Oreochromis niloticus: one gene and its partners. The protein of the gene in region 3 purifies or fractionates together with the protein of the main gene of each other region. This does not show direct contact. Links are inferred from orthologs where the notes say so. Each region holds a gene or a part of one and is shown on either strand. Other genes may lie near its edges. The genes, in order: rbbp8, dcp1b and usp4.

Region 1 (7,631 bases), on a different chromosome or scaffold from region 3:
AGTCTGGAATAACACCCTCTTCCTGTTCTGGGGGTGAGGCTTCCTTGGATTCAGACCTGAAAAGAAAAGCACACGTGTAGTGCTTCACTGGAAACTGAAACTTTAAAACTTACCGAACCTGTAGGAGGGAAATTTATTTTCCCAAGGGGCCACAGAAGAAACTGGGGCTGTTAGCACCAAAAAGCTTATAAACACGTAAAAATAATAATACTGAGTGGCAGCTTGGGAAAATGTATTGTTCACTCCTGAAATGTCTGACCAATGTAGGTGACACACATTTTTATAGAAGTTTTAATTCAAGAGGTTTAACAAAAGTATTGTACTGTTTACAGCTATTTGCAGGAATCATAACACAGCCCCCCATTTTAAATATTTAAAATCTATTTAGTAACTTTTCAGTGAAACTTTTAATATGAGGTTAAAAAAATTAATTAATTAATTAAAATCTGGGCGCAAATGGAAGAAGCCATAAAAACAAAAACCTATCGGAGCAGTAGAATAAACTTGCATTTGTAAAAAGAATAAATGCACAAACCAGGCTCGGCAACACCAAAACACATGAAAGACTACTGAAGACATCTTAAGTACATGAGCGCAGTGGATGATTGGCTAAGAAAAACCTGTTCACAATATCTAACCAAATCAAGAACAGTCCCTGTGAGACAGACGTATCAATGTCAGGAGACACCTTCATGAGTAGACTGCACAATGCTCAGAAACTGTAAAAAAAACCCAAAAAACCCCCCAATAAAATAAGAAAGCAGGGGTTACATCTCAGACTCCACAGGTCTCAGTGTGTGAATGTTAAAGTTCATGACAGTACAGTCAGAAAAAGATGAACAGGGATGACTCATTTTCAGGAGAAAGCTGCTTCTCTCTAAAAAGAACATGACAGTATAGCTAGCTTACGCTCATAAACAAACCACAAGACCTCTGGAACAGATGAGACCAAGTCATCCTAGAGCTCCTCTGTATACCAAAGTATAAGTCATCCATCTGACAGCTAAAGCTTGACAATAACTGGCTCATGCAACAAGACAATGATCTGAATCAAACCAGCAAATCTACATTCAACAGAGTGGCTGAAAAACAGAAGAGTCAGGGTGTTGTGCAATGGCCCGGTCAAAATCCAGACCTCAATGCAAGTCTGTAAAGAGTAGTCAAACTTCCTCCATGATGCGAGATACTGATAAACTTGAAAGTACTTCAAGTTATTGCTTTAACCTTTTAAAACATTTCTCATATTTTTCTTGTGAACAAAAACATGAATGCAACACAGCTTACCGAGAACTCTTCAGTTTTTGCAGCTCAGCTCGCAGCTTATCGTTTTCATCCTCCAGCAGGTTTCTTTCATTTTCTGAGGAAAAAAGGTTTGCAAAGAAAATGTTTTTCTCTGTTCTTAAACAAACTGAGAATCTTAAAGAAATGTTGTTTTGTTTTTTCCCCACAGTCATTCTAGTATATTAGTCGTCATATTATATAACATACTATTGTTGTGAAAGATTGCATCTGCATATGTGTATGCACATCAGGGAGGGCTATTAATGGTTGGACACTGAAATGAAAACACTCACTAAGTTTCTCGATAAGATGCAGATTCTGCTGCTGACTGTTTTTCAGGTTCTCCTCTAAGATGGAGCATCGATCACACTCTGCTGCTCGAAGCCTGGAAAGGGAAAGCACAGCTGGCAATCTTTATATTTCATATTGTTTTAATGCAAGACACTAAATGCTGTGAACTTTCAGTCTGCGGGGAATCTGAAGCATCCATGCAATGAATCAGAAAAGGCTATTCTTGTCTTTGGTATCATGTTGCTCCAGTTAATTAGAAATCCCACATCGGTGCCCAACTGCAGCTCTCCCATCCTAAGTTATAGTTAAAATGTAACAGAGGTTCAACAAGACACATCTATTCCAAACAAACAAACGAAAACATTTGCTACAAAGGGAATAACAGTGGAGTGCATTCATCTTTGGGTAATTTACCTTTCCTCCAGGAGAGCCATGTCATCCTGCAGGTTTTTATTTTGCTCCTTGAGCTGCTGGTTGCGATTGTAAAACACTTCAAGCCTCTGCGCATCTCTGTAGAGGACAAACACATCACTTTACCCTTCATAAATAATTTACTAAGACTCCAGTGTCCTTCTCCTTAAACACAAAGTGACACAACATACTCACAGGCAACGTTCCTTTTTCAGCTTGCTTACTTTTGCTTCCAATTCTAGAAACAGCAACAAGTGCAATGATGACATGTGTTGTCATTTAGCTTCTGAACTTCGGATTATAGACATGAAAGCCAGCATGAACGTGGTGAGATCAAACTGTCAGTTACCCTGAAGTGCATTTTGGTGACACTCTCCAAGCTGCCTCCACAAGTCTTGAAAGCGATCAGCTGATTTGGCTGTCCCGCTGCTCCTGTCGTTTCCAAAACTCTCTGTAAGCGCCTCTCTGCTCTCTTCCTGCCAACGCAAATCAGCAGTCTTTGTTTTCATGTTTGCCTCACAATAATAAATTCCTTCTTTCAGCTCACTTTAGTGTTTCTTAATGTTAATTCGCATTTGTCAATGTGAGCACGGGAAGTTAAATGTTTGACTACTTTAGCTTTGCTACATGGCGGCGCGCATAAACTCAGTGCTAATTAGCTAAAAAGAAAATTACTTTCACCCCCTCAACACTCACATATTTACTACTTATTATTTATTGGCTTTTAGAACAAGCATTAATAAAACTTCAGCTCTGTCTTTTGGCTTGTTCTCCCAGTAACCACTTAGACTACAATTAAGAAATAAATGCAAAGTTTAGACTTAATGACACGACCTCATGAGAAGACAGCCGCGAACAGACTCAGACTTACACCGACACGTCTAAAGAATAAAAACTAGGATATTCTGTCAAAGAGAAAATAGTTTAACAGTACAGTACCATGTTTGAGCGATACAGTCTACGGCTTGACCATAACAAAATCCAAATTCGCGCGCCGAACTGCAACCTGGGAAATCTTCTTCTTCGTTTTCCAATTTAGGTAGGAAAGCTTTGACGCCATCCTCTGTTAAACAGCAGCCAGTGGTTTATACTGCTACTTCTCTAACCCTAAACAATTAACAACAACAATAATAATGATAATAGTTAAAATTTTGTTTTATGAAATTAAGTTACAGAAAGTTGTTTGACTTGACCTCAATTACCAATGAGTAACTTTAAGAATAAAATGTCTAAAATCTATAATACTATATAGAGCAGAGCCATGGGGACTAGAGTACAATATCATAATCAGTACTGTGTAAAAGTCCTGAGTGTTTCTTTATATTTTGAGTTCCAGGTTTGAAATAGAAATTTTTTCCACCGACAAGGTGATTCCCAAAGAGCCATTACCTGAAAATTTGGCATGCCATGTGGGCGTAAAAAAACAATGGTCATGCCAAATATTGCCTTTCAAACCGGTTTGAATCGTCCAACATATTATATATTTTGTTTCATGTTCTTCTTTGTTTTGTCATCATTTCTGGCTGCCCCAACACACCCAGCGAGAAGACATGCACAACACAGGTTATTCTTATATTTGTTTTTATTTTTGGTCTTTCTTTAGAATACAAAACAGCAACCAAAGTCACAAAAATAACATTTACAAAACATGTTTAACTGAGGTGACCGAGGCAACATAGAAAAGCATGTCTGAAACAGTGACATTGGTGGATTTTTAGCCTGGAGACTTGAGGTAAGACAGCGAGCGATGTCGGAAAAGGTCAAATATCTTTTACAAACCGTTTGGAATTAGTGCCTTCATTCAGTAGTGCTATTCACAAATGGAGTTTAATATCATTACGGTGCCCTAACATGTCCACATTTAGCGGTGATTTAATGATGTAGTGCTTCAAATCTGCCTAAGAGTAAATTCATTAGAGTGACATGTAAGTCTAAAATTCTAAGCATGTTGCACTGTATGGCACCATTCAGAATGGTTTCCGTTCGAGTCCCGTTTTCACACACACACGCGCACACAGACACACACACACACTTCCTGCTCATCCACTCTTATTAAATGGGTGCAATTGACTTCTAATAACTTCCTATACTTGTTCCCCACCAAGAACACTTCTGGCTAAAATAAGTGAATACATCATATATCACCCAAGCAGGAGCAGCTTCAGACTTTTGGGGGGGGGGGGAGAAAGAAACTGAAACACCATTTGTTTAAATGAAAAAAAAAGTAAGTTTAACAGGCCAGAAAAAGTAAAAGTGTTGGATTGGCCACCAGTCACAGAGGCACAAACTCAAAGTCCCATCTTTTGTTCCTACAATACAAAAATGGTAAGACATTATGCAAACACTGCATCACTGAAAGAAAACGATAAAAACCACTTACCTAAACACAAAGCGGTGAAAAATAGTACAGTTTGGCCCGCGATGGACGGCGCAGGTATGTTTTTGCATGAATAAACGTTTCTTGTCTTTTTTTTCTTTCACATTTAAGACATAGTCACTGGTGATTCAGCATTGCAGATTATTACTCTTTTTTTCTAAGTTCCTTTGGATTTGTGCCTTTTATTGAATTTGCATCTGTCACAGCAGGGAGAATTGAGCTAGCATTACTTTGTAAATCTATATATACACATGCATTCAACATCATATTTAATCCCCCAAATTAAAGGAAAAAAAAAACTATTCCAAACTCCCTTTTCACTACATAAGAATTTAAGCTATAAAAACCTGCATGAGAGTCCACATAGAGTTTGCATGGAGGCTTTGCAGTTTGACGTGAGATATGCAGCAGGTTTGTAGAGGTGCTGGCGCTGAGGGGGTGGGGGCGTGGGGGTATGGAATGCAGCCTTATTCCATTAATAGGGGTTGTGGGGATGGGCCTATTTGTCACCCCCTGCTTATCCAAATGGGACTCTATGTAGTTGGGTTTTAGATTCACATTATGCTGGAAGAAGAAGAATTGGTAGCGGACGCTGCCAGGGCGGGGCAGGTCGTCACCACGAGAGAAAAACACTGGAGTGTGAATGCATATCTACCATCTTCCGGACCTGCAGAGAGAACACCGGGTGTAAACATAAACCTTTAATCTGCACCTTTGACCAAACTTGTGATCCTTTTAAAACATACTCACGCTTCTCTCTCTTCACCACTGCGGGGGCACGTAGCTGTAGCTGGGTGTGCCAGGAGGCCGATATGTGGGCATCGTGACTGGGTGGGGAGCGACGGGCGCTGGCGATGGAGTTGTCAACAAAGTTCCTGAGAAGTGAAAGCCACAGGTATAACTACAAATCGAACACATTTGTATCCTGGATAAGAATCAATAAACCGCTGCAGCTCACCAGCTGACATGGCCATAGTGGTGCCGGCTACCATGCCCATGGCAACACCATTGTTGCGAGGAGGGATAGGCGGAGCATACATTGCTGCAGGCATCCCATTGGGCTGGACCACTGTCGTGTGATGGATGACATGAGGCGGTGGAGCATACAGAGCCTGTGTGTAGTAAGGGCCTTGTTGTTGTGAAGGTATTAGTGCCTGGTGGACAAACAACCACACGTTACAGCTCAAGCATTGAACCAGGATGAAGAGAGACGGCGTGTTATTAAAAGCGAGGACTGACCTGTGCATAAGGGTTCTGTTGGGGGTAGGTGCTCCTGACAGGGTACACAGCAGTTGGGTAGGGGTTTGGGGAGGAGGAGTATGGTGGGACGGTCCCTGTGCTGGGAGAGCAGGACACTTTGAAAGGAGCGCTTGGAGCATAGCCTGGAGAGGGAGGAAGACGGCTCACATTAGTGCCGTTTGCTTTGGGACAAAATAGCTGAAGTCTGCGTAGAAACACTGGCTGTGCAGCTCAGTAAAACAGGACCCTCATAGAAAAGAAGCACACACACTTTTTGGGGCTATTAAGAGTCTCTTTGGAACTTTTATTCTTTATTACGTTATATTTATAATTAATTCAAATAAAAGAAGTCCGCTGTAACCGTTTGACTCTTTTGAAGTGCATCAGGAAGATGTGTTTCAAGACCTATCAGATAAACTCCAGCAGATTTCAGCGTTACTTTCTTCTCACCATTAGGGAAGCCTGGGTTTGCTCCTGCGTAGACGTTGGGAGTGTACACTGGAGCAGCTGCTGCGTATCCTAGAGGAAATCCAGCTGCCAAAACCAGAAACAAAACAAGAATATAACAGTATTCTCAATGCTGGGAGATATTTTCTTGTAATTATGCTTGTTTCTTAAACCACTATGCTTCAGGTTACCTGGATAACCTATACCCTTAGTGTTGGTAAAGGGGACCCCTGTTGGTGCAGGGCTGTATACTGGGTTCATTGTGGCTGTCTAATTGCAGATGCTGTAAATAAGAGAAGCACAAACAGGTTGGAACGATGCAAACATCATGCGTGGAAATCAACTGCTGATCTGTGAGCCAGCAGAGCTCTTGTGGAAAGGATGGACATGCTAATATGAAGTTTTCTGTTGTTGTCGATTGTGACCCTGTTGTTCCAGAAACAGCACAGTGATTGTGAAAAGATTCCTCAGAAGGTTTAAACAAAACCTTCAGTTTGGCTTTCAGAAATCTTAAGCATGTAAACTGGTTTGGTGTGTGTTCTTTGGAGCTTAGACTTTGACATACTGTCCATTTATTAGACTGCTGTTACTGTAGCTTCGTCACATTTCATTACATTTATATTTCATCACATGTGCCAAACTACCACTGTTACCTAACGACACAGCTAAAAGGGACCACAAATAATAACCGTTCTCCCTCAGTGAAGACTGACAGCGGTCTGCATGAGATGACCTTGCAAGGTCACGGTAACAACAAAGCGAAGACCAGACTAATAAGCATTTTCTGATACTGTGTGCTGACATGCACCTATTACAGTTGTATTGGCATTACTATATATTCTGTTTGATATTAAACATAACACAGAGAAGGTGCTTGCACTATTTTTAAAAATGGTGTCAACATGGTTCCCAATGCTCTCAGCACTGTCTAAAGCAGAAAGAGAGACGAGCGCAAATAGTCTCTACACAATGTTCGTGAGCAGTTTGTGAAAGACATTTTTGGAAAATTAATACACTCAGCTAGACCTTTGATTTTGCATTTTTGATGCCATTCTGTTGTTCGGGGCAAACCTTAAATTTAACAAGGTGCTATAAACATTCCTCAGAGATGTTACTCCACATTAACATGATGCTATCTCCTCCTCTTCCTCCTACCATGGGGTCTAGATCATGAGTTGGCTGTGCTCTTGGCCTCTAGAATTCCCTCCCAGCAAATATCCATATCCCTAACTCTCTCTCGCATCAGAACATCTCTTTAAACCGTGTGTAAGGTGACCTTGAGTGTTTTGAAAGGCGTCTGAAACAAAATGCATCATTATTGTTATTACATTTTACAGCTTTCTTAGCGAATTTCCCGAAGAAACCTTGACTTTTGCTTCCCATGACGGTGGCTGGGTTGAGTTTAATGCATCTGTGCTTCCACCTAGCGGTAGCTAAAAAACGTGAGCATGAAAAACAAAAACACATAAAACCCTTCCACCTCGTTACAACGTGCTCATGAATGGACTCTGGTAAATATAAATTCACAATTACACTTACACGGGTTGCTAATAAGCACAGTCACGCTACAAGTGAATCCACATTT
Region 2 (7,034 bases), on a different chromosome or scaffold from region 3:
CTTAGTCATGCTGAACTTGAGAGGTTTTTCACAGCATCTGAGGTGTGGTTTGTCTGGTTGTTTTAATACCATTGTTTATTTCTGCTACTATTTCAGTCTTTTGCATAGCTCCTTTTCTGATATTTTATCATCTTTATTCAATCATCGTAATCAAATAGAGTCATTAGGGTAGACCATTAGGTTTGCCATGTAACCACCCACTCTTTGAGTCATAACTCCTCCCCATAATTGCATTTTATCAGAGGAAACCATCATTAACTGTGTTTTGATTACTAGTTTTATATGCTGTTAAAGTTTGTTCCTTCCATGGATAAGCCTGTTAGCTCACTTTAGATTTATTCGCCATTACTGATGCTCTGACCACAGGCCAGCGCAATCACAGATCATCTTTAATGCACCCCGAGTGCATTTAAGGCTGGTGTAAAAGGTGTAATGAGGTCACTGAGCAAAGTTTATGCCAGACACATCATTTCTCTGAGCCTTCAGGATGTTTAATAATGGCTTTGTGTCAGTAAGAAAAATGAAGCACTACAGTAAGAGGATCAAAGCAGGCACAAGGAATTCAGTGGTATCTAAACACAGCATTCCACCTGCCATTTACTAAGCCTGATGGAGGGAGACCGAGGCAGGGAGGGAGGTCTGTGTGTGCCAGCGACTTCTGAGTGAGTGAGTGTATGTATGTGTGTTTAGATTATCAGTGACAGTTGCAGCGTATCTAATCTCCGCTGGCTGATTTTGTAGTGCTGTCAGACTCTTGTCCCAGAGCCACACTCAACAATGTGTTTGTGTATGTAGGAGCCATATGTAGGTCTCGGAGTCAGCCTGATAAAATTCACTGGAGTACCTTAGCTTAGTTCCTTATATGGAATTACTAGTTCCTACTTAAATGAAGTGCATGCTGGACTCTTTGGGCACTTTTATCATGTTATCATCTTTTACATCAATATCTTGTGGATATCGATGCAGTTGTCTTTTTTTAGTATAAACATTTCAAACGATACAGAGTCTTTGATAAAGTCTTTGAATTGACTAATCTTCAGAAGTTTAGGTAAAATACTTTACTTCCCCTTTAGGTGTGACGGTACAAAACACTAGCAGTAAGAAAGCACAGTTCACATGGCATTAAATCACTGCAGTGTATTCAGTCAGTTTCTCCTTACATCGTGCGTTGCGGTAAAGCAGGAACGGGTCCTGGAGCTGGAAGTCCAGGTCTTTGGTGAGTGGCTCTGTCAGATTCTGCATGCTGAGCCGGTTCATAATGGTAAAACCATGCCTAGGAGAGGCCAACCTGAAATTTAAAGACAGCAGAATATAGTGTCATATTCTATGTAGTCCTGTGGAAAAACTAAGTTGGTCACGTAGCTTGCAGAACCACCGTCAGCAGTAATAATAATTTCACTGTCTCACTTTATCAGTCTCTCACATCATTGTGGAGGAATTTTGGCCCACTCTGCTTTACAGTGGAGCTTCATTTCATTGAGGTTTGCAGGCATTCATTTATGTGCAGCTCTCTTAAGGTTCCACCACAGATTTTCAGTCATGAGATTGAGGTCTGGACTTTGACTGGGTCACTGCACCACCTTCATTAGTTTCTTTTTCAGTCATTCTGTTGCAGATTTGCTGCTATGCTTGGGATTATTGTCATCTTGCATGACCCAATTTCAGCCAAGCATTAGATGTCAAACAGATGGCCCCAGATCTGATCTTCTTGGTAGGCTCAATTACTACAAGGTATCCAGGTCCTGTCCCTGCAAAACAAGCCTAAATCACCAACCCTCCACCACCGTGCTCGACAGCTGGTATGATGTGTTTGTTCTGATATGCTGAGTTTGGTTTTCTCGGCTCTGTCCAGCTCCACTTTTGCCTCATTTCTGAAAAGGACAGGATTCTTGTGGTTTATTCAGATGCAGCTTTGCAAACCTAAGCTGTGCTGCTATGTTCTTTTAAAAGAAAAGAGACTTTCTCTTGGTAACCTTGCAGTTTCCCTGAGCATTGCTGCACTGCCAAAACTTTTGCTTTTATAGAGGTCACATTACATATTATTATAGTTTTGTACATTATCAAACTCAGTTCAGTTTTGTTACGTCCCATTCATGCCAGCTTCACAGTTTTTAATTTAGTAAATGTGTCACAAATGACAAGATTTTACTTTCAATAGGGAACAATAGGAAAATGTTACACATAAACATATATATATAAAGTCTATTGTCTAATAACAGTGTTGGCATTTTCATTACCTTGTATAAATAAAAAGAGTACCTTCCACTTCTGTCTTCTCCTTAAAACAAAAAAGACAACAAAATCAATTAAATCAACTCCATTTCATAATTGCTCAACCTTATCTCTGTTGATATTAACTTGTGCACCTGCTCGCTATTCTTTCAAAAAGAAGTCCAGTATTTTGACTTTTTGTAGGTGACAAAAAAGTCAAAATAGCACATTTAAGGGAAGTCTCCAAATATAATGTGAAGTAAAACATAACATAGCAACAACAATTTTTATTTTTTATGGAAAATAACGTTAATTACAATAGTCTCTTGTAAGTTGAGTAAGTTTCAATCTGTCAAAGCGCGCCGAACGGGCAGTGACAAAGCTAAGTTAGCACACGACACATTCACCAACCCTCCGGCTTACCCACTCATTTGTCCTGTTGTTATAAGTATACAGGGCAACTTGACTCGCCAGGTCCACAATGTTATTGATGTATGGGTCTTGTCGCTGCAGAGCAGCCAGACTTATATCCAGTCCTTTAGCGGCAAGAGAGCCACTGCTACCTGCTGAAGTCGCTGTCATTGTTCCCTATGGAGACGCTAGCTTGTCAACTAGCTTTAGCGGCTACCGACTCACAGTAAGAAGAGGTAAAATCCAAATAAACGGAAAGGTAAAGGGAGTTAAATCGATGGCTGTACAGTATTCTATTTTTCAAGTTAAAAATTGATAATTATAAAACTAAGTCAAGCGCTCCCTAGCTGTAACTGCTACGAGTGAGTTTGAAAATGGCCATATTTCACCGAGATTGTAAACAACGAAGACGTGACTAGTTGCGCAGCAGTTGGAGATTTCAGCCTTAACAATCAACTTCGAGAAATCGATGGAGCTGTCCTGTAATCAACTGCACGGAATTTCCTATATATTTCCTTATACATACCGTCCATGATTAAATCAATATGTACATTATGCTCTGTAGCTGAAGGTAGCATTCATTTAATTATAACTCTGTCATCAGTACACACTACTGACGTCAGATGAGGTAATGTTATTTCAAACGGGCTTGCTCATTTTTTATATTGTCTATATATATTAACGGCATTGTAATGTGTTAATAATGGTAATGTTTTGTAGTGTGAGTGTGTGTGTGAGAGAGAAAGAAACTATATTTTGCTGCAGATTGGGGGCTCCTTAGTATTTTTTTTTTAATTTAAAGCTATCTTGTTTCATGCTATATTAATTGTGTGTGTGTCCTAAAAGTAAGCAGCTGATGTTTCTCTTCTGTCATCCACCTCTCTTTTAAGTAGGCTATATTACACTGATAAAGACTGATTGCACCCAATCCTCTGTGACACCACCCCTCAAATGCACTAGGAGGCGCCAAAGGGATGGCTAAATCGGGCATCCATCCTTTCCCATTTCATTGCAAGAGCTGGACTTGATCTAAATGCAAAGGAAGAATACACACAGACGTATTTGTAAGAAGGCTTACACTGCAAATGCGTTTAATGTCTTATTGTCTACATAAAAAGAAGAGCAGACACAAGCAGTCAGAAGCAAAACCACTTATATTCTAAAATGGACATCTATCCATCTTAAAAGATTTCAGTTTCATAAGAAAGTAACCTCTATCTCAGTGTCGTGATATATTTTTCTTAATTGCATTTTTTTTTTCTGGCCCTGAGTCACATCAGGAGTTTTTCGGCCATTTGTGCTCAATAAGGAATGATAAAGAGGAGAGAAGAAGGGCAAAGACAGCCTTTTCTTGAAAGCCTTTTAGTGTCTTGTTGGACCCAGTTAAGATAGCCTACTTAGTGAAGTTTTACAAAGTTGACAGTTACAGTGAACATTTGTCAGGCATATTAAAGGATTTCATTTTTTTTATCCCACTGTTATGCGAAAATCTCTTTTCCCTTATTCCTAGGTCATTTCAAACTGTTTTTTCCCCCTTCTTTTTGGTTTACATTATCTACCAGCTCTAGGCTTCAGAAATGAGACACATCCTTCCTGAAATTAATACTCAAGGACAGGACAGTAACTGATACAGGAACAGGACTTTCAGGACTGTAAGTTCTTGAAATTCATCTCAGCAATTGCCATATCAGACAATATCACCTGACAATGAATCTCTATATTCAGTTCAACACATTCTGTTCTGTTTCAAGGGTGCTTGAGCAGGCATAGCAAACTCTTCAAGTGAACATATGAGCCCGGCCTTGTTCCTCTTCTTCCTTCTGATAGAGCATTACGTCTTGTGCAATCACTGTGTCCATTAGACTTGAAATCACAGAGAAGCTCTTCATCACTAAATTACTGTTTAGCTTTATATAGGCACTTCTTCTCATTAGTGTAACAGTGGTATGCTAACAGTTGCTTCAGTAATTAAACCTGGCACAAGTCTGAAATGTAAAACAGTTGACACACATCCATCAAGAGCTATATCAGAGTGTCCTTGAGAAAAACAATTTAAAAAAGAAAAACATCCAGCTATTCACTCAGCCCAATAACCCTTCACCAGCCTTGGCGTGGTGAAGGGTTCACCACGCCAAGGCTGTACACAAATCCTGCTCTTAAATATGAATGAAACACTTCCAGGTCAGGCCAAGACATGCACCTCCTGGTGATTTAGCATGAGCCTATTTGTCAGAGATTTAGTGCTGTGTGTGTTTCAAGGCGCACATGCACGTGTGTCAGGGTGTTATTTATCTGTTTGTTCAGGGTGTGAGTTGGTAAATGATGAGGCTAATGACTTATCCATCAGCAGGTCAATACTGCCGATAATCAGTCAAGACTGAATAGATGTCTTTAGTGGTGGACTAGTGGGGACACACCATGAGATGCTCATCATTGGCTCCCAGGCAGAAATGATGCATGGATTTATCCGGTGGACAGAGTGTTGGAATAGCAAGATTTGGATAAGCATTGGTTTCTGGGGTGTTGTGTTTTAATTTGAGCTTCCAAAGTGTAAAAATTGTCTATATGCCCACTGTGCTATACTGTACTAGACACATTGAAAGATGAAAAACTAAATAATTTATCAACATATTAAATGAAATGCAAACTGATGTTTGCTGAAAAGAAAAAATAGTAACATAATGTAAAAACACTGTTATATGTACATGTTTAAAAGTATTAAAAGTACTCCTGTTAAAATAAAAGACACCTTATTATTCAATAGTTTGTAGAACCCCCTTCAGCACCAATAACTCCTGTAATCATTTTCTGTAGGACCTTACAGGCTCTCACATCATTGTAGAGGAATTTTGGCCCAATCTTCTTTACAATGTTGCTTCATTTCATTGAGGTTTGCAGACATTTGTTTATGCACAGCTGTCTTAAGGTCCCACCACAGCATTTCAATCAGGCTGAAGTCTGGACTTTGGCTGGGTCATTGCCACACCTAGATTGTTTTATTTTCCAGCCATTCTGTTGTAGATTTGCTGGTGCACTTGGCATTGTCCTGTTGCACGACCCGATTTCAGCCAAGCTTTAGCTGTCAGACTGATGGCCTCACATTCCACTCAAGAATGCTTTGGTATACAGAGGAATTTAATGACTGCAAGGTGTGCAGGTCCAGAGGCTACAAAACAAGCTCAAATCATCACTCCTCCACCAACATGCTGGACAGCTGGTATGAGGTGTTTGTGCTGATATGCTGTTTGCTTTTCTCTAAACATAGAGCTGTACATTATGGCCAAAAATCTCCACTTTGATCTTGTCTACACAAAGCAGATTGTTTTAGAAGTTTTGTGGTTTGTTCAGGCCTAAACGTTTTTGTTTTTTGGGGGGCAGGACTTTTGCCTTTATTAGATAGTGTAGCAGTGAAGATAGACAGGAAGCTGGGGAGAAAGAGAGGGGAGGAGACACAGCAAAGGGCTCCAGGTCAGGCTTGAACCCAGGTCACTGCGCTCTGACCATGTTGCATGTGGTCACTTGCTCACCCACTGAGCTAAAGTGGCACCCCTGCCATGTTTTTAGAGGCTTTCTCCTGGTAACCCTTCCAAATTAGCCACACTTGTTCAGTCTTTTTCTAACTGTACTGTCGTAAACCTTAACATTTAATGTACTAACTAAAGCCTGTGGAAGCTAAGATTTAGCTCTTGGGTTTGCAGTTTCTCTAAGCAATGAATGATCTGACCTCTGCTTCTACACAGGTGCTCATACTTGCTAATGATAAATTAATTAGGTGCATCTGACTAGCAGCATCTGGCTGCTACTTATCTTCTTGATTCCCGTGAAAGCAGTGGGGAAACCTGCAGTCAGCTGAGACTGAAGAAGTCACTTGGATGAGTGACGAAATGTTTCTCCCACTGAAAACGCTACGTCCAGATGAACAGAATCAACCTTTGGAGATTTACTTACCTGGATGATTGAGAATGCATCAAGACGAGGGTGTACTTTGTTTTTCACAAGTCTGCATAGAGTCCAGTGAAAACGCTCTTTTTCATTTGACTGTATCGTTTATTATTTTAATGGAATATCTTTGGAGGTGAGATAAAGAGCACAATGACTGAATGAGCCTTCCTTCATCGTTCAATCTGGGACTACCTTCAGCCATACATCTAGATACTTGCAGACATTACATTTTAGGTCCTCATTAGACTTTAAATATAAAAACTTGAGTTTATACAGTACCATGCAAAAGTCTTGAATCACCACTCATTTATTTATATTTTTCTAGGAAAATTGGTGCAGTGATTTACTGAAACATGTGCAAACATACATAGAAATATAGTATGTAAGGCAATAACAGAGTGTGAACAATTCAAATGAGTTTTAAAGGAAGTGTTTGACCACCTTTATTCTTCAGTACAGCCTGAACTTTA
Region 3 (7,099 bases):
GGCACACCTGAATTTCATGCATGACTTTTCACATCTCAGGCTCGAGTTTAATACTCAAATGGCAAATGCCACCAAACGTTTCTTTATTGTTATTCTTTAATGTTTCTTTATTCTAATACATTGTATTTTTCGTCTAATTTGAAAGCTGCTATGACTGATCTGGATTTCAGTGGCTGCTGTGATAAATGAAGTTAATTAATGCCTTCATCTTCTCTAACCTAGATTGTGAATATAACACACAGACACCTAATTCAAACTAGCAGTCTCCAATCACCACCTCAGTCTCATATACTAAGAGGTGCTTTTCCTTCCTACTAAAATATATTAATGTAAAGGGCAAATAAAATAAACAGCATACATTATCTTTGCAGCACAATGTCAAAATTAAAAACAACCACATAGCTGAATCATAACCTGATCTCCCTGCAGCAACACTTACACATTAATACAACCTAAACAAATGTTATTGCAGTGCTAATGTACTACACGGCAGTAGGCTCTCTGGTGTTTTTGTTATTCTTTTCAGTGCCTGCAAATGAATTATGTACATGAGTGAGGATCAGTTTATTATTGAGCTGTAGTCAAACAATAATCTCAATCTTATTTGAATAGCACTACCTGTCCCTGGAAAAGACCAGCATCCTGTACGGTGCTGTCTGGCTTGTTCAGCTGCTCGTACGTATTGCTCATGTATTTGTTCCAGAGCCTGGTCTCTTCTTCTGATGGGATATTGAACAGTGTTCTCATCTCCTTCTCTATAGTGTCTAAAAATGAGAAAAGTTTGATAAATAAGCATGGAGAGTCAAATAGTTTTATTCAGCAAACACAAACCCATAAATGACACATGTGGATGCTCACCTATAGTATCAGCTTTACTGAAATGACGTGTAACAACATTGTCCATATTGTCATTCTCACACAAGTTCAGCTCCAGCAAATACACCTCCACTTTACAGTGCTTGACAAACATACCATGTTCAACGACCTAGAGAAAAAAAAAAGAGACATTTGGAAGCCCAGTCCACGCACCCTGGTACATGGCTAAAATTAAGAATATCTTTAACAGCCTTACCTTCCTGACGATAGGTCTCTGGCCCTCAAGGCAGCCATACCAGCTGACTAGCTTATTCCATGCCTCAGTAGGTACTAGGACATAATCTAGCTCATCTATAAGGTGCTCTTTCAGGGCTTGAGTCTCCTGGTCTTTAAGGAGAAAAAGAAAAAAAACAAACAAACATAAGTATAAGCTAAGGAACTAAATTTTTTTTGTTTTGTTTTTTTATTTCTATGTGGAACTTATATTGTTCAAGCAAAATCAACAGCAGTCCATTAGGGGATTCGTTTTAAAATGACAATTTTACCTGAGAACAGGCCAGAGTTATCAATTGGTCCTGGATAGAGGCTTCGTTCTCCAACATTGTACATATCCCAGCTGTCAAACCCCACATACTTCTTCCACTGTTTGAACCACCGGCTGTCTATTAGATACCTAAAACAAATTGATCAGTCACAGTTAAAGAAAAACATATCACTCGTTGGAAGATGCTCTTTTCCCCTTAAAAGCTTTAGCATTTATATCTCGTAAAGGATTTCTTCCCCCAGCATAAAAAAGGGTCAAGAGATTCTAAAAGGTATGGTATAAAAGGGCACACAGCCCTACACTTTCCCAGAAGATTATGCAATACCAAACTGCCTTGGCATTTATAGTAACTGCAAGCTAGTTTGACTTAATCTCATCTAAAGAATCTCCTTTGGTTAATAAGCTTGTATCCACACTGCAACAACCATTCAAATGCTAATTCAAAAAGCTGGACAATGGCTCTTTCGTGTCAACACTATAAATTAATGGGCTTCAAAGTGTCAAACAAACAGGTGCATGATCTTATCCCGAGATTAGTTTTGCCAAGCTATGCCTGACAGTGTTTAAGGCTCCTGGAAATAAATACCACGGGATAGTAGTTCCATTTTAACAATACCATAAATGGAAGGGCCGAGTCATTTAAATAACTCCAGAAAAACAGGTTAGCTTTGCAGCTAGTGGCTGCAAGAATGAACGTGACCTGGTCATTTGGCACCCACTTCTATTAACAAATGAGATTAACGGGGACGCTTGCCCATCTCACATGTCTGTGGTGTTGTGTTTACTGGCTGAGGTGAAGCCTCTTTAGTACACCGGCTGCATTATGCCCAGGCCTGGGCAGTGTTAATGGTCTGAAACTATGTTAGCTAACACAGGTGGCTTGCCGGGTAAGGGGAATATCACACGGCTTAAAATGGTATGTTATGACAAGCAGGTAACTACTTCTCACATTAATTCTGTCAGCGGGCCCATTTCCTCATCATCCCGTAACTGACAACAACACGGTTTCACTGGAAAATGAAACTACAATCTGAATCCAGGGCCTTAGTTATTCTGACAGCCCACTAGCTACCACGACTGCTAAAGCCGCTCAACTTATCACAAAACAGGCACTAATTAATGTACAAATGAGTCACTTGGCAGCTGGTTTGCTTGTGTGCGTCAACAATAATATCTGTTAATACAGGCATTAGTACTAACAGAGAAATTCAAATGTCGGGCTGACTAGCAGCAAGCGTGCTAGCCTGCTAAAATATCATTAGCACAGCAGCTATCGAGTTCAAGCTTACAAGCATTGCTGTCATTAGCTTGCTAGCTTAGCATGCTAACACTTCCTGTTTGTCGGCTAATGATAGCTAAAGACCCAAGTATTACTGGCCGCTAGCTTACCATTCGTCACCCTTTTTCAGAGACGTTTTCAAAAGAGACCCAATAGTCTGTTTTTGACTTTCGGTTGATGGAGTCGGTATTTGTGCAGCTACCGGCTCCGAGTCGGAGTCCGCTGCGTTACCCGACTCGGGTCCGCCTCCCTCGGCCATCATGCAGCCTGTGTGCCGGTAACGTGAACGCGCTGAAACACACGCACTGGGACAGGCTCATAGAAAACCTTCTTCCTCTACGGGCGGCGCATAGCCCCGGAGAGCTGCTATTGCACTCCAGCGTTCAGTCACTAGCATTACTAAACCGGTAAGTTACGAGACATTCAAATGCCAGCTGACTGACAGCAAGTTTCCCATAAAAAGGATCTTGCAGTTCCTGTGCTTCAGCTCTGTGTTCGCTAATCTGATGATAATTTTCACTTACATTATAGGTTTTTAGAGCTCGTTAAACAGACGTCCAGGCAGTTAAATAAAGAGAAGACTAAATTTTAACGGAGAGCAAATGCAAATGTTTTTGTGTAACAATGACCTATTATTACTGACGAGGATAAAATTATTATCCTCTCTATGATTTAAAAGTTTTTGTCAACATTTTTCCAAGTGCTTCTTTTTAATATAGCAAGGAGTTTAAAACATAGCATTTGTAAAAAATAATAGCTTTCTTTAGAAAGCATAAATTATTTCAGAAAAAAAAGGATTATTACCAGGGTCAGTATTATTGGCCCCCTGAAAAACTGGCCTTTTCATTGACCCACAGCACAAACCGTTGTTGTGCAATGACGGGCTTTAACTCTGTAATACTCAAAGCTTGCAAAATCAAGTCAAAACTGAGGGCTGTCTTTCAGTTTACACATAGTATTAAAAACCTTAGCAAAGATTTGAGCGGCCACCTGAGAAAGCATCATGCCAAAAGCAAAATAATTCAATCTTGATTTCTGTCAAGAAATTCAAAAATTGCCACACAGTACAGAACAAGCCTGGCATATGAAGGTATGTATCTTGCAAAATGTGAGAGCTTGTACTGGCAGAGGTAGGAAGCAAAAGATTTCAAACACTGTGGAAAGAAATCAAGTGAGAGATGTGTCTAAAGAACAACTGCCAAGACATTACTGAATGACTGAGCCAAGTCAGAAATGGTAGTCTCAAAGAAGACAATCACTAGAACCCTGCACAGGAATGGACTGCGAGGTTGCAGACCAAGAAAAACTCCACTTGTGCAGGAATGACACCTTCAAGCTAGACTGAAGACTGAAGTATGCTAAAGACAACTTGGAGAAAGACTCTGTATACTGGAAGTGTATCCTTTAGTCAGATGAGACAAAGCTAGAGCTCTTTGCTCATGGCTCATAGAAATGCTGCTTGTGTTTGAAGAAGTAAGAGGCGTACAACCCAAAGAACACCATCTCCACCATGTAACACTGTGGTAGGAGCATTGTGCTGTGGGGATCAGTTCTTCTGGTATGCGGAATCTTCTCAAGGCGGAAGGAATTGTGAAAAAAGAAGGATATGTGAAGACAATGACACAATTATAAATCTCTCCTGGTGAAGAACAAAGCATTCTTCACGATCGTGGCTCAAGAGTTGGCAGTTTGTTTTGTAATCGGAAGGTTGCTGGTTCGAGCCCCGGCTCCGACAGTCTCAGTCGTTGTGTCCTTGGACAAGACACTTCACCCGTTGCCTACTGGTGGTGGTCAGAGGGCCCGGTGGTGCCAGTGTCCCGCAGCCTCGCCTCTGTCAGTACGCCCCAGGGCAGCTGTGGCTACAATGTAGCTTGCCATCACAAGTGTGTGAATGGGTGGATGACTGAATGTAGTGTAAAGCGCTTTGGGGTCCATAGGGACTAAGTAAAGCGCTATACAAATACAGGCCATTTACCATTTTAGGTTCTCACATAGGGGAGAAAAGCGCTATATGGGAACTAGTCCATTTATTGTCTAGTATTTGAGATATTCATGTTCAAACATTGCCTTAGATTTCAAATTGTGGGAAAAAAAACTATGGAAGAGGGTCAATGGATGATTTTTTTCAGAAAAGTACATCTTGAAATGTATTTGATATATGAAGTTAATATTTCATAGCAATCATTATATATGCCCAATCTTTGTACCATACAATCAAAAATGGTCAAGCAGAAGGCCCATGGTGATATGAGATCAAATGACTCCATTCATAGACGCTGCATTTTTCCCTAAGCGTCATAGTCATGAAATGTAGCCTTTTCACAGCTCTAATCGCTTGTCTTTTCTATAGATCGAAATCCACATTTCACTTTGGTCACAGTTCTTACTGAAACACTGCCCAGTTGAGCAGTCTTCGTGACTGAAGCACTCACCACCGAAGCCTTTTTTTTTTTCTTTTGTGCCATTTTGACTAAATCCATCCTACCTTGTATCCACAGTTCAGGCTGGTGTTGATGGTGTGGGGAATATTTTCTTGGCACACTTTGGACCCCTTTGTATTCCACAGAGCATAATTGGATGCTTATGTTACCTGTGTGGAAGCATGATCATCCTTCATGTTCCTCAACTCATTTGTTCACTTGCCTGCATTTTTTTTTAACTTACTAATGTGAACATGACTGACAGGCTGTTAAAACAAGATTGCAGTATAATTAAAAAACAAACTTACTTTTAACTGACATTTTGTCCATTTTAAAAAATTCAACTCACTTCCTCACTACCAATCATCCTAACCCAGGTAAATGAAGTAGACGCTGTATTGTGGAAAACTGACAACAAAAGAGTAATGTTAATGTCCACGGTATCTATTCAAATCTTTTACTGAGGATGAATGTGACATGTGTATTATTTGAATATTCAGCTGTGGTGCTTCTTCTCTTACACTGATCGTTATTATTCAAAGAAACAAAAAAGACAAAAACAAAAAACCCCAGCACAAAACAAAAACATCTCTTTCTTCATATTTGAAAAAGTAAAGTGTTAGTGTACATGGAAAACAAATAAAACTATTTTGAATCAAAACAGACTTTATACTGTACAAAACACAAGGGAGTTAATTACAAAATAAACCGTCTACATACTTCAAAAACAATATCTTGATGACAAAACTCAACATTTCCCCTGCCACAAAACAAACAAACCTAACCTGTTCTGGACCTGCTTCTATCTACAATCTAAGATATGAGCAATAACGGATGGTTAAAGGATTATTAAATATAGATCATTCTGAAATGTAAAACTGTTTTATGTACTATTTTGTTTAAAAATGACACATACAAAATGAAGACAGCTAACTAGCTGTGCATGACATTAGGAAGAAGAAGCACTAGGCAGTTCAGATTCTACTACTTAATGGCATTATGACTGCATTCAGTTTCAAGCCAACAAGAACATGTTTCAAAAATCAAAAAAACATCACTTAATTTCTCTAGAACAGCCCCTTCTTCCTTTGAAATAACAAAGCAGAGCTCTCTATTATGCATGAGGCAACAGTAGAACCAGTGTATTTGTGTTCATTTCAGTTCATTTATGGACAGGAATGGAAGGTAGATACATGTGAAAAGACCACTACAACAAATTAGATGATGTAAACTTTGCATATGAAGGGATTTGTCCCAGTTGTGTGGTTTCAGATTTTAAAAAAAAACAAACAAACAAACAAAAAAAACCACACACACAACAACAACAAAAAAACAAAACAAACCCCCCCAAAACAAATCCCTGAAATAATCAAATTTGAAATTGGAGTCTCCAAAAAGGAAGTGATTAGGCCATCAGAAGATACCGCTTGGCAGCTCCTTGCTGAACATGCCATCAAAGTCCAACTCCCGGCTCATCAGATCATCCTCTACATTCTCAAGCGCCCACTGATGGTCAGTCAGTTCCAGTGCCTCCCACTCAGCCTAAAAATCAAAAACAAACAGCACATTAAATCACCAAGGCCCCGTGCCACCAACCTCCACCCCTCTGTAGCTAATTCAACTAATTATAGACACACATACTTTGAAAGCTTTATTTGTATCTGCAGGCATGGCCATGGCAGCACCGCTCATCTGCTCCTGCATGATCCTCGACTGGTCTGCGCCTGCGGGCATTCAGACACAAAGCAAACACAATCAGTATGTGGACATTTTCACTAAAGTCACATGATGTAATCTAATTATCCGTTTTAACATTTAAACCAATTTCAACTTTGTGAAACACTCCACTTACCGTTATCTTGGCCTAGGATTAAAGAGTACATGCTTCGAAGTCCAAACACGTTCAGGAAATACCAGGATGCTGAGCTCACCCTGCATAATACACACAAGCGCAAACAAATCACAGTGTCATCACACACTAGCTTAAGCATTTTCCTATCAATAAATAATGAGTGGTGCAGTATGAGTCCAAGTATCTTG

Evidence for each region.
Region 1: the proteins of usp4 (region 3) and rbbp8 purify together in Homo sapiens (affinity purification with western blotting; 3 studies listed by BioGRID, with this or other methods). This does not show direct contact. The link is inferred for Oreochromis niloticus from reciprocal best matches to the Homo sapiens genes USP4 and RBBP8.
Region 2: the proteins of usp4 (region 3) and dcp1b purify together in Homo sapiens (co-immunoprecipitation; 3 studies listed by BioGRID and IntAct, with this or other methods). This does not show direct contact. The link is inferred for Oreochromis niloticus from reciprocal best matches to the Homo sapiens genes USP4 and DCP1B.

The regions. Positions count from the first base shown.
Region 1 is NC_031974.2:26,340,739-26,348,369, reverse strand, and holds the start of rbbp8 (DNA endonuclease RBBP8), read right to left. Parts: upstream 3,064-7,631; 5' UTR 2,926-3,063; coding exon 2,923-2,925; intron 2,901-2,922; exon of another isoform or gene 2,818-2,900; intron 2,460-2,817; coding exon 2,333-2,459; intron 2,222-2,332; coding exon 2,179-2,221; intron 2,083-2,178; coding exon 1,987-2,082; intron 1,667-1,986; coding exon 1,575-1,666; intron 1,358-1,574; coding exon 1,285-1,357; intron 57-1,284; coding exon 1-56. Other genes in the region: fam168b (myelin-associated neurite-outgrowth inhibitor), read right to left, coding at 5,123-5,235, 5,319-5,514, 5,600-5,742, 6,050-6,133, 6,238-6,307. UniProt on the Homo sapiens protein: Endonuclease that cooperates with the MRE11-RAD50-NBN (MRN) complex in DNA-end resection, the first step of double-strand break (DSB) repair through the homologous recombination (HR) pathway.
Region 2 is NC_031981.2:10,690,600-10,697,633, forward strand, and holds the start of dcp1b (mRNA-decapping enzyme 1B), read right to left. Parts: upstream 3,050-7,034; 5' UTR 2,794-3,049; coding exon 2,635-2,793; intron 2,279-2,634; coding exon 2,238-2,278; intron 1,289-2,237; coding exon 1,161-1,288; intron 1-1,160. UniProt on the Homo sapiens protein: May play a role in the degradation of mRNAs, both in normal mRNA turnover and in nonsense-mediated mRNA decay. May remove the 7-methyl guanine cap structure from mRNA molecules, yielding a 5'-phosphorylated mRNA fragment and 7m-GDP.
Region 3 is NC_031970.2:22,490,357-22,497,455, forward strand, and holds the start of usp4 (ubiquitin carboxyl-terminal hydrolase 4), read right to left. Parts: upstream 3,012-7,099; 5' UTR 2,902-3,011; coding exon 2,750-2,901; intron 1,490-2,749; coding exon 1,362-1,489; intron 1,204-1,361; coding exon 1,073-1,203; intron 986-1,072; coding exon 859-985; intron 765-858; coding exon 619-764; intron 1-618. Other genes in the region: emc3 (ER membrane protein complex subunit 3), read right to left, coding at 6,473-6,601, 6,701-6,783, 6,912-6,991.